3 linked regions of the Cricetulus griseus genome follow. The protein of the gene in region 3 binds, or shares a complex with, the protein of the main gene of each other region. Links are inferred from orthologs where the notes say so. Each region holds a gene or a part of one and is shown on either strand. Other genes may lie near its edges.

Region 1 (3,749 bases), on a different chromosome or scaffold from region 3:
CTCTGCCTCCCAAGTGCTGGGATTTAAGGCGTGCACCACCAACGCCCGGCGTATGTGTTTATAAAATAAGCAATATTCAAATTTACCAATTGCCACAGGATATACTGCCCTCTTTATAGATTAGTACCATAATCCTTACTAGTCTATAGGCAATCTTGTGCTTTTTAAATTATCAAATGCTTATGTGAACTCAGTGAGGTTTGTTTGTTTGTTTGTTTTGCTAAAGAGGACTTGAAGGTGGAAGGGAAATGAGGTAGGAGGGGTCTGGGTGGAGTTGGAAGGAGGGAGTAGGGAGTGGATATGGCAAAAATACATTGCATACATGTTATGAAATTCTCAAAGAATAGAAATGATTTTAAAAGAAAAAAAAAAAGGTGGGGACTACATAGATGGATCTATGGTTAACAGCACTGGCTATTCTTGTAGACGCCCCAGGTTCGATTCCCAATGCTCACAAATATTCAGTAGCTCCAGCTCCAGGGGATCCGACGCCCTCTTTTAGCCTCCACGGGAACTGCACGTACATAGTGCACACGCATGCAGACAAAAAAGATAAAATAAGAAAAAAAAAACAATTAAGACCGGCGAGAAGGCTACAGAAATGGTTCGGCATTTAAGAGCACAAAAGGTTCTTGCAGGGGATGTGAACTCCGTTACTACCACCCACATCATGGGAGCTCACAACTGCATTTAACTCCAGTACCGCTGCCGCGCTCGCTCAAACATGCGCGCGCGATTCAAACAAGCTGTAAACGATTTACTCCCTCTCCCTACCTTCCTGTGCGTCCAACCTCCCTCAGAACCCGGCAAAGCTCATTAGACTTCACCCGAAACAGCTACCCGCGGCTGTCAACCACTAGCCGGCTAGCAGACAGCCCGCCCTCTGACTTCCTAGTATTCTCCAGGGTTTCCTTAAGATCCCGCCTCAGCGCTCCACTTTCAGGCGGTCTCCTCTCATTCTGGACCGCCCCTCCATGCTGGAAACACGTCATCCACCCGCGCCACCCGGAAACCGCGGTTCATTCTAACCTTAGGTGGCCCTAAGGTAAGCACGGCGCTTGGGTACCGGTGAGTGACTGCGTGTTAGAGTCGGGTTGGGCAGAAGGAGGAACCCCGTAGCATGAGCCGAAAGAAGTCATACCCAACGTTAAGAGGTTGGAGAGAACTTTGTGAAGTTAAACAGGAGCACTCAACGTGGTTTTTCTCCCTCCTCACTCCCCAGGAAGCCTATCATGGCGACACCCCCGAAACGGCGGGCCTTGGATACTGTAGGAGAGAAAGTGCTGCGGTACGAGGCCTTTATCAGTGACGTACTGCAGCGAGACTTGCAGTGAGTGACAACGCAGATTCTAGGCGTGACATTTGAGAAATTCCACGTGGTGGGTGGGACAGAATCCCGGGAAAACTTTCGGATTGGCCGGGAAGAGGGGTTGACGTCCGGGCTGCGATTTGGTTGGAACTTGGCCCTTGTAGTGGAGCCTCTGGCGTCGTTCGTCGGATTAAAATAGTCATAAAAACCCACGACATTTCTGACTGGGCCATTTAGCCATTACTTATGAAAAAGTTGTACATCACCTCTCCTCTCTGTGCTTTATAAACTTTGCTCATCTGTGGAATGGGAAAGTTTATGGAGCCTTCTTAATGTGGTGGTTTTGAGTTTTAAATGTGTCTACCCAGGTAAAGAATGTAACCCAAAGCCTAGACTGATAACACAGGACTGTAATTCCAGCACGAAGGAGGCAGAAGCAAGAGGATCTTCGAAGTTGGAGACCAGCCTGGAATATAAACTTGACTGTCTCTAAAAGGGGGAAAAAATTAGAATGAAGCCAGGCTCAGGCTCTGTGGTGCATGTCAGTAGTCCTATCTAGTGGAGAGGTGGAAAAATTCATTTCTTTAGCCAGGATGTTCAAGCCAGCCTTAACAGTAGAACATGGTTTTGATAAAATAAAGCCCAGTGTTGTGACACAGGCTTGTAATCCCTGTACTTGGGATGGGTGAATCAGGACGATCCAGAGCTCAAGATCATCCTCAGCTATATTTCAAAGATGAGTACAGCCTAGGCTCTGAGACTGTGTCTCAAAAAAAGAAGACAATGGAGCCAGCAAGATGGATTGCCTTGCTTCCATGTCCTGAGCTAGCTCTCTGGGATCCACATAGTGAAAACAAAAAAACTCCCAAAAGCTGTCCTATGACTCACATGGGTGTACCACGGCACCCATACATGTACACAAAATAAATACATTAAGTAAGAATACTTTTTAAAACTTTACATAAACCCAACTATACTACAGTTGTATTAAGGCTGAGAGGAAAGAACTGTCTTGTGTACTCACAAGTAGCCTGGGAAACTCAGTTCTTGTCTCAGAAAATAAAAAACAAATAACCTGGATAGTTTTGAAAAGGAATTTAGCTCCGGTGGATGAAACATACTAAAAACTCAATAATTAGATGATTAGTATTGCTGTCATTATTAATGTGAACAGAAAGTTTGGAACTAGAGCAGTGTGAGCATGGAAGGTATGTGTAGGGTGAAGATGGAGCATTTTAATTGGCATAAGGCACTGAGTACAATGCAGTATTTGTAATAGTGATGGATAGAAAGGATACAGTGTTTACCATTTGGCTGGCATTTTATAGTAAACACTTGAGTCTAATGGTTCCTATGAGGTAATACTGTCATCTCTATTTTATATGTTGTGAAACTAAGTCCCAAATAGGTTTCCTAATGCCAAAGTCACATTGCTAGTAAGAGTTAGAGCTCAGGATGAAATACAGTCTGACTTGTATTTATTGAAATACTTGGTGTGTCTTTCTCTGTCTATACTATGCGCTCGCTCGCTCTCATGTCTCCGTGTGTGTGTGTGTGTGTGTGTGTGTGTGTGTGTGTGTGTGTGTGTGTGTGTGTGTGTGTGTAACACAGGATCTCACTATGTAACCCAGGCTGGTCTTGAACTCATAATCTTCCTGCCTCAGTCTTTCAATTACTGGGATTACACTCGTGAACTACCATAATTGGCTTAAAATGCCTTTTAGGCCATGATGTGAGATATCTCAAGAGGAATAGGGCTGCCTAATGATCACTCTTCTATTTCCACGTATCAGAAAGGTGCTGGATCATCGAGACAAGGTATATGAGCAGCTGTCTGTATACCTTCAACTGAGAAATGTAATTGAGCGACTCCAGGTAAAGGCTTTTAAATTGGGTATCAGTTTGTATATGTGTACAAAGAAGGAAGATGGGAAGAGAAACCCCAAAACAAAACCTTTTTCCTGCCTTAAAAATTGGCCACTGACACCTACTTCTTTTCTCCTGGCCCTACAGGAAACTAAGCACTCGGAGTTATATATGCAGGTGGATTTGGGCTGTAACTTCTTCGTTGACACAATGGTGTGAGTGTATTCCCTCCCCTCCGAGTTTCTTCCTTCTTTCATGCAACAAGTATTTCTTAATATGTTCTATATACCAGACTCTGGTCACTTTTATATTGCACTAGGATGTAAGCTACATGCTGTGGGTGTGAAGTGAATGAACATGAAATACCGGCCCTTACAGAGCCTTAACTTTAGGGAACTGGAGGGAATAGGAAACACCTTCAACTATACAATGTGCTAAATGGTAATAAAGACTTCCTCCACTTCCTCTGACTTCTTTCCTCAGCCCAGATACTTCCCGCATCTATGTGGCCTTGGGATATGGTTTTTTCCTGGAGTTGACACTGGCTGAAGCTCTCAAGTTCATTGACCGAAAG
Region 2 (3,749 bases), on a different chromosome or scaffold from region 3:
GGCTTTAAGGTGTACCATGGGAGAGATAGCCAGACCCTTAAGCACAGATACCAGATGCTAGCTGAAGCCGTCTGACTGGACTCAGCATCTGCCCGGGATCCCTTGCCCTCTGGGGCCAGAGTACCGCAGCGTCCATGCTTCAAGTGTGGTCAGAAAGGACACTGGGCCCGGGGTTGCCCGAACCCCCATGCACCAAGCAAGCCATGTCCTAGATGCCAGGAAGTAGGCCATTGGTCAGTGGTCTGTCCCCGTGTCCCAGGTGACAAGAGGACATCAAACACAGACGGCCTTCCAGTTGATCTCTTAGCCCTGGCTATGGATGAGGACTATGAATGACAGGGCCCAGGCTCTCTTGACCCGACCACCATCATCTCTGAAAGGGAGCCCCGGGTGGACATTAAAGTATCAGGGCGGTTTATCTCTTTCCTTTTGGACACTGGTGCCACATACTCAGTCCTAAAGGAGTTTTGGGGACCCACCTCTCTGTCTCGTCTTCCTATTGTCAGGGTAGGAGGACAGCCTTACTTACCTCAGCAGACTCCACCGCTTAGCTGTATTTTTAGGGGGATTCCCCTTACTCATTCATTTTTGGTTATACCGACTTGTCCTGTGCCTTTACTAGGGAGGGACCTTCTAGCTAAGGTAGGAGCTTCTATTTCTTTTGCTCCCCACATTCGCCCAACTCCAGACTCGCCAGCGGCTCCCCTCCTCCTCCTCCTAGCTACTCACCCTACAGGTTCCAGTACGTCATTTCCTTTACCAGCCTCTCAGGTAGACCCCAAGGTCTACCAGAACCCTTCTGTGGCTAGACACCATCCCCCCTTGTCATTCAGTTACAGGACCCCTCTAGGTACGTTGCTCAAGTTCAGTACCCACTCCCACTCCAGAGCCTTAAGGGACTTAAACCTATTATCTCTGACCTCCTAAGGAAAAAGCTACTTCGTCCTACCTCCTCCCCCTTTAACACCCCTATACTGGCAGTAAAAAAACCTAATGGGACTTTTTGTCTGGTTCAGGACCTCCGTAACTCTATGGTAGTGCCCCTCCATCCTGTGGTTCCTAACCCTTACACACTCCTCTCTACTATCCCCCCGACATCTCACTTCTCAGTTTTAGACCTTAAGGATGCCTTTTTCTCTATACCCCTCCACACCTGGTCTCAAAATATCTTTGCTTTCACCTGGACTGATCCAGATACTCATGTCTCCACTCAGCTCACCTGAACCTTTTAATAATAATAATAATAATAATAATTATTATTATTATTATTATTATTATTATTATTATTATTATTATTATACATCGGATCCGCTAGGGGACGACACAGAGCCTTCATAAACTCCGCAACCAGGCAATTGTGCCTTTAGTTCAAACCAGTTTGCGCATGCCCATAACTATGTCTAGTCTCCCACCCATACTCCCCCAACCGCCCTCTACTGCGCAGGGGTGAGTGTGCGTACTCCATTGGTCGGGATGCCGGAAGGGGCGGGTCCACTGAGAGCTCGCACGCCGGATCAGGGCTTCCTGTCCTCGGTTCCGTCCCGGCGGCTCACCGGCGTGCATCCCCGTGGGCTCACCGGCGTGCGACCCGGCGTGGAGATGCCCCGAAGTGGGGTACGAGCAGACTATCGCGCCGCGCCGGTGCCCCCCTACAAGTCGGATGCACGCACGGAGGCCCTTAACAGCAAGGTGCGGTGGGTGGCCGGGGAGCGCCTTCCGGCTGGGGTTCCCGGCGGCGCCCGGCAGCCCGGCGGCGTGCTCCTCGCTTCCGTAGTCGGTTCTTGGCACCCGCCTCAGGCTGCCCCTCCTTCCTGCAGACTTGCAGAGAGGGAGGCACAGAAGCTTGTCCCCCAAAAAGGGGGGGGGGGAGAGACACTGGCGGAGGTTTGGTGGGGCTGTCCCCTTACCGTCCCCCTTCCCTTCACGCGGATCTGTTGCTCTGTGGATCTGCTTCACCCTGTTAGCTACGCACCCGCCTGGGGGCCATCCTTGACATCCATCCCGAAAGTTTAGAAATCTGCCAGTGTCCTTCCAGACGCTGTCACTGGCTGTTCTGACTCAGGGTGTCCCCAGCTGCCTGTGTCCTCCACTGTGATCCTAAAATACATTTATCTGATGGTCTCTAAGTAGGACTCTTGCAAGTTAATCTTTGTCTGCCTCCCTCCCCTTTTCTCTTCCTTCCTTCCTTCCTTTCTTCCTTCCTTCCTTCCTTCCTTCCTTCCTTCCTTCCTTCCTTCCTTCCTCCCTCTCTCCCTCCCTCCCTTTCTTCCTTCCTTTCTTCCTTCCTGAGCTTTCGTGTCTCTCAGGCCAGGCGCAAACACTGTTGTTTGAGAGGGGAGCATGACCTTATTCTCTTGCCTGACAGCCATGATTTCAGGGTTGCACCACCTTGCTGAACTATACCATTAATCTTAACTTCCAATTACAGACAGTCTTTAAACATGTATAGTGGAGAGTATTAAACGTTTTAAATTCTACATTTTTTTTTTTCTGTCCCAAGTGACATCTTGGGTTAGTGACCTTATTCCCACTGTATCACAGTTTTCTTTGGTGTCAGCTAAAGTGAGATGTCTACCTGTCTTTCCTAAAATGAACATAAAACACCATACAAGCAGACTTGAGTCTCAAGGAAGATGAACTCGTGTGGCTTTGTAGTTCATCACTATAACTCTCACCTCTGCCATCGTGGAGACATAAGGATGCATACTCACTAGGGCGGGTGTGAGTTTTAAAAAAGACCTTGCTTCTTATTACTGTGTGTGATGGTGTGTGGTTACTTAAATTAGTTATTGCCTAGTTAGGCATTCATTTGATGGTCACAAACAAGCCTAGCTTAATGATAACAGCAGTATGCAGTCTTTGCCATGCAAACAGAATGATGCAAAGATGAAAAATGATGCTGTATCTCCCCAGGTAGGGCATCCAATACTATTTATCTGAATGTCTGGCTATCATCTAGTACATACATGAAAAGTAATTGTTGTTGGGGAAGGGGAGAAACACATTCATTTTCTTTTTTTAAAAAGTGTACAACAAAACTTTATAAAACTAATTAAAGGGTGGGTATTGATTTTGGTGAACAGTGGCTCACTTTGGTTAAGGTATAAGCCATGTGGTAACTGGCAGCTGGCAAGTCTAAGTCAGCTTTTCCTTCTCCAGCTGTTTTCCACGGAGTCCAGCTGGGTGTTGTTGCCCTGTAGAGTGTCCATTTAGACAGGTGGTATGTGACAGCCCCCAGTCCCATTATTCAGAATTTCCTCACCAAACATACTTTGAAAACGTCTACTTTAGGTTTTTCTTTATTTTAATAGATTAAAGAACAAAAAATTCTTGTGGATGAACTTTCTAACCTGAAGAAGAATCGGGTAAGTTACTGTTGGAATCCGGAATAGTATACAGTATATTAAAATCAGGAATTAGATCATTTATGCTAAAATTACAAAATTCTAACATACTAATTTAAAACTAAAGTATCCTAGTTTGTTTTTCATGTTTTTCTGCATGTATCAGTAAATCTCAAAGTTGACAGGATTCTTTCCCTATTACATTTTTAACAAAAAAAGAAACAATTACTTCCTTTTCCACAGCAAACTTTAATGCTCCAAGAACTTAACCTATTTAATTCCTTTTTTATGACATGTTCATAAATAAACTGCTGTCTCATGTGTAGTTTTACTGTTAAAAAAATATATCTTAAATGAAGAAATGATTTTGTTCTCTTTCAAGCATTTTAAAATGACTGACATTTT
Region 3 (3,749 bases):
TTGTAGCCCAGCCAGGTCTTGTTATGTAGCTGAGGATGACCTTAAACTGCTGCCTGCTTCCCAAGTGCTGAGATTACAGGTGTGTCCCACCATCCCTAGTGACTTCTTTCCATTCTTTCAGAGCATAATAACCCCAGAGCTACTGGTGTTCACTTATTAAATGTTTGGTGGGTGGCAGACAACTTTGTCTCCCCACACTGCAGTTATAAACACGGATTGAGCGGCAATGTGCCAGGCAGAGAACAAGAAAATATGTTACCTGGGCTGAGTACAAAGTACCGAGATTCGAGGCAATCTGTTTCCGGTACACAAAAGGGACAGGAGTTGGCGAGGAGGCCTGGTGATGAAGCCCAGCCTGAAGAGGGTGAAAAATCAGGACACCTAACCTTCCTTCAAGTAGTATGTTTCTAGAATTCTCTGTCATTTCCAGGCCTGGCCAGTAATCCCCTCCCCCAAGGCTTCAAAAACATCCCCCCACACGATTAGCTGTGGAAAGAGGTCGTAAAAGGGAAACATGGGAGAGGAGACTGATCCGAGCCTCAATACCTCAACTTCCAGTGATCTCACATTAAAACTGAAGCCCCTTTCCTCTGCCAAACGTTTCCGCGGTTCAAGTCATCTCATGGAACCTTCCTCGCTTCCCCAATTCTCTCTTCTCGGCTGTGCCACCTGCACAGCTTTATAGGCTCAACGCGTATCTCTCCCCTTACAGCAGTATCTCGAAAGGCAAGTTCACTCTCCCTAGATCGCCACCATCTCGAGGTGGGCAGGGGGCTCCGGACCAGATCCCAACCCTGGACCCCGCCCTCTGATTAGCGCGCCCTTCCCCGCCTCTCCCTGGGGCAAGAATCTCTGTTGCACAAGTTAAAGCACCGTAGGTGGAATTCACCGCAGCGGGCAGGGTTGGGGAGTAGGTCCTACATGAAGCCACCGCCAAAACCATTCGCAGGGTCGACCAGAGGAGCTTCCTGGAGCCAGAAGCGCAGGGGCAAGTGGGTGGTAACTACCAGACCGGATGTGACGCAGTGGGAGTGCGCAGGCCGGAAAGCTCGCAGGTGGCGAAGATGGCGGACAGCAGCGGTCGTGTGAGCAAGAGCAGCGGGAGCAGCACCGGGAAGGGGGCGGTGTCGGCCGAACAGGTGAGCATCCGCGAGCGCCGAGGGCAGCTCGGCCGGTGTCGAGTTCGTGCAGGAAACGGGGTCTGTGGCTTGTACCGGCCCTCAGCCCTTTCCACGTTCTCCGTGTCGCACTCGCGGAGGGAGGCGATCACGACCCCTGCTAGGGCATGCGGAGGTGGGTGTGCAGAGGAGAGCCACGTCCGCAGGCTGCAGCGGGAGCCCAGTGGGAAAGCCCTGAGCTGCGGGAGCTGGGAGGGTGTCCAGGGCCCCAAGGTGATGGGGTCGTCGTTTCCCCCGTCTCCGAGCTACTGGGAGGCGGGCCTGCTTCGGCGTTGCATCTAGTAACGAACCCCAGAGGTTATTAGTCGGGGAATTGTTTAGTCTGTGACTCTAAAACCGCGCTCACCATCGCCCACGCGCTGCAAAACCACGTGACTCAGACTCGACCGCTTCAGTCTTCTGTAACTATTTTTTTTCTGGTTTTTCGGGACAGGGTTTCTCTGTAGCTTTGGAGCCTATCCTGGCACTCGCTCTGGAGACCAGTCTGGCCTCGAACTCACAGAGATCCGCCTGCCTCTGCCTCCCGAGTGCTGGGATTAAAGGTGTGAGCCACCAACGCCCGGCCTTCTGTAACTATTTTAACTAAGGAGTCTTTAGTAGATTGGCTTTGTGGTTTAGTTTGGTTTGTTTGATGGTTGGTTGGCCTTGGGGTCGGGGGTGGAAGTTGCGACGGGGTCGCTCTATGCAGTCTTGACTTTTCTGAAATACACAGTGTAGACCAGGCTGGCCTGGAACTCAAGAGATCCGCTTGTCCCTGCTCCTGCCTCTCGAATTCTGAGATTAATAGCCTGTGTCACTAAGCCGGGCCAGGATTGTTTGGTCTTTTGAGACATGATCTCACTAAGTAGCCCAGGTTGGCCTCGAACTCGCTCACTGTGTTCTCGGAGTGGAGATTGACTTTTTAGAAGAGACCGGAAACCCTTTTCTAATCTAAGTTTGCCCCCACCCCAATACATCGGGATATGTCTGACTAATCAGAAAGCCCTTTGTGGTATGAGAACCGTGCCTTGTTAATCGTGGGACTAGTATTTAATCGATAGTAGAAGGAAAAAAAAACCACACAATTGAAATGAAAAGAATTGAGGCTAGGGATATAGCTTAGTGGGCCAAATGGGAGAGCCCTGAAGTGTAGGACATGGGAGGGTGTTAATTAATTGTTGAACACTCAGTACAGTCAGGTAAAGGTAGCCGAATAAAGAGTTTAAAACCTGCCCTATCAAAGAGCATATCTATTGGGACAAAAGGGGGATTTTCATAATTCTACTTCGAGGCAGAAAATAAGTGTTCTAAGAGAAGTAAAATGCATTGAAATTTGGAGGTAGCCTCCAATATAGTGGCTAATACTTTTATTGAGGGTCTGTCTTGTGTTAGGCTCTGCTGAACACAGAGAAACTGGTAAATGAAACAGACCTTATCTTCAACTTGGTCAAAGATCCCTAGAAATACAAGACAGCCGAGTGTGATGGCTCATACCTGTAATCCGGCTGGATTACCATGTCCATTCCAGGCTAAGCCTGGGCTACAGAGTGAAACAGTTGTAAAAACAAACATGACAGAAAGACAAATAAAACAATGAGAGTTTTAAAAAAAATTATTTTATGGGCTTGGTGATGGTGGTGCACCATTTTGTCTTAGCACTTGGGAGGCAGAGGCAGGAGGATCTCTTGAGTTCAAGGCCAGCTTGGTCTGCAGAGCTAGTTTAGTTTCAGGACAGCCAAGACTATACAGAGAAATCCTGTTTTGAAGAAAACAAACAAACAAACAAATAAATGCTGGTAAAGGCCCCTTGAGATGGCTTTTGCAGAGGCCCAAGTTTGATTCCCAGCACCCATCCATGTTGCTTGTCTCACAATTCCCCATCACCTTGGCTCAAGGGAATCCAACGCCCTGTTCTGGCCTCCAAGGCAACTCCACTTGAGTGCACATGCTATCACACAGACACACAAACATGCACATAATCTAAACAGTTTTTTTGTTTGTTTTTGTTATTTTGTTTCAGGACATAGTTTCTTTGTGTAGCCCTGGCTGTCCTGGAACTAGCTCTGTAGACCAGTCCCTGTATTTGAGAGAGATGTAGAGGCAAGAGAATTAGGAGTTCAAGTTCATCTACTCAAAGTAAATTTGAGTGTGGGTTACATGAGATTCTGTCTCAAAAAGATAAGAAAAATCCCTGTCACTTGACAGTCAAAGTTCAATGTGTGTTTTGGAGAGGACAAACCCTACTAAAACATAGCTTTATACCCCTTAGTCCCAAAACTTGTGCCCTTACAATGCAAAATACGATTATTCTGCCCCAATAGTCCCCAGAGTCTTAATTTGTTCCAGTACTAACTCAAGATTCCAGGGTCGTTTGTGCAGGGAAAAGTAGCTCATCTCCTTCCAGCATGTAATGCAGAGGCAGGCAAAGAGAGAAGTAGGCCAGAAAGGTAGGTGGGGGTGGGTGGGTGGGTGGGTGGGTGTGTGTGTGTGTGTGTGTGTGTGTGTGTAAAACAAGCCTTAAGTCTGATTCCAAGAGAGCAGGCATTGTCTTACAATTCTATAACAATTTTTCTCCATGTGCCATTTGGAAAC

The links.
Region 1: Pfdn2 (region 3) and Uxt share a complex: the UniProt entries of both Homo sapiens proteins name them as parts of the PAQosome complex. The link is inferred for Cricetulus griseus from reciprocal best matches to the Homo sapiens genes PFDN2 and UXT.
Region 2: Pfdn2 (region 3) and Asdurf share a complex: the UniProt entries of both Homo sapiens proteins name them as parts of the PAQosome complex. The link is inferred for Cricetulus griseus from reciprocal best matches to the Homo sapiens genes PFDN2 and ASDURF.

Annotation. Positions count from the first base shown.
Region 1 is NC_048604.1:125,813,293-125,817,041, reverse strand, and holds the start of Uxt (protein UXT), read left to right. Parts: upstream 1-951; 5' UTR 952-1,045; exon of another isoform or gene 1,046-1,222; 5' UTR 1,223-1,232; coding exon 1,233-1,330; intron 1,331-3,102; coding exon 3,103-3,184; intron 3,185-3,322; coding exon 3,323-3,390; intron 3,391-3,658; coding exon 3,659-3,749. UniProt on the Homo sapiens protein: Involved in gene transcription regulation. Acts in concert with the corepressor URI1 to regulate androgen receptor AR-mediated transcription. Together with URI1, associates with chromatin to the NKX3-1 promoter region.
Region 2 is NC_048595.1:402,525,021-402,528,769, forward strand, and holds the start of Asdurf (ASNSD1 upstream open reading frame protein), read left to right. Parts: upstream 1-1,491; 5' UTR 1,492-1,599; coding exon 1,600-1,689; intron 1,690-3,311; coding exon 3,312-3,365; intron 3,366-3,749.
Region 3 is NC_048598.1:21,547,913-21,551,661, reverse strand, and holds the start of Pfdn2 (prefoldin subunit 2), read left to right. Parts: upstream 1-1,009; 5' UTR 1,010-1,064; coding exon 1,065-1,139; intron 1,140-3,749. Other genes in the region: Nit1 (deaminated glutathione amidase), read right to left, coding at 260-355, 568-569. UniProt on the Homo sapiens protein: Binds specifically to cytosolic chaperonin (c-CPN) and transfers target proteins to it. Binds to nascent polypeptide chain and promotes folding in an environment in which there are many competing pathways for nonnative proteins.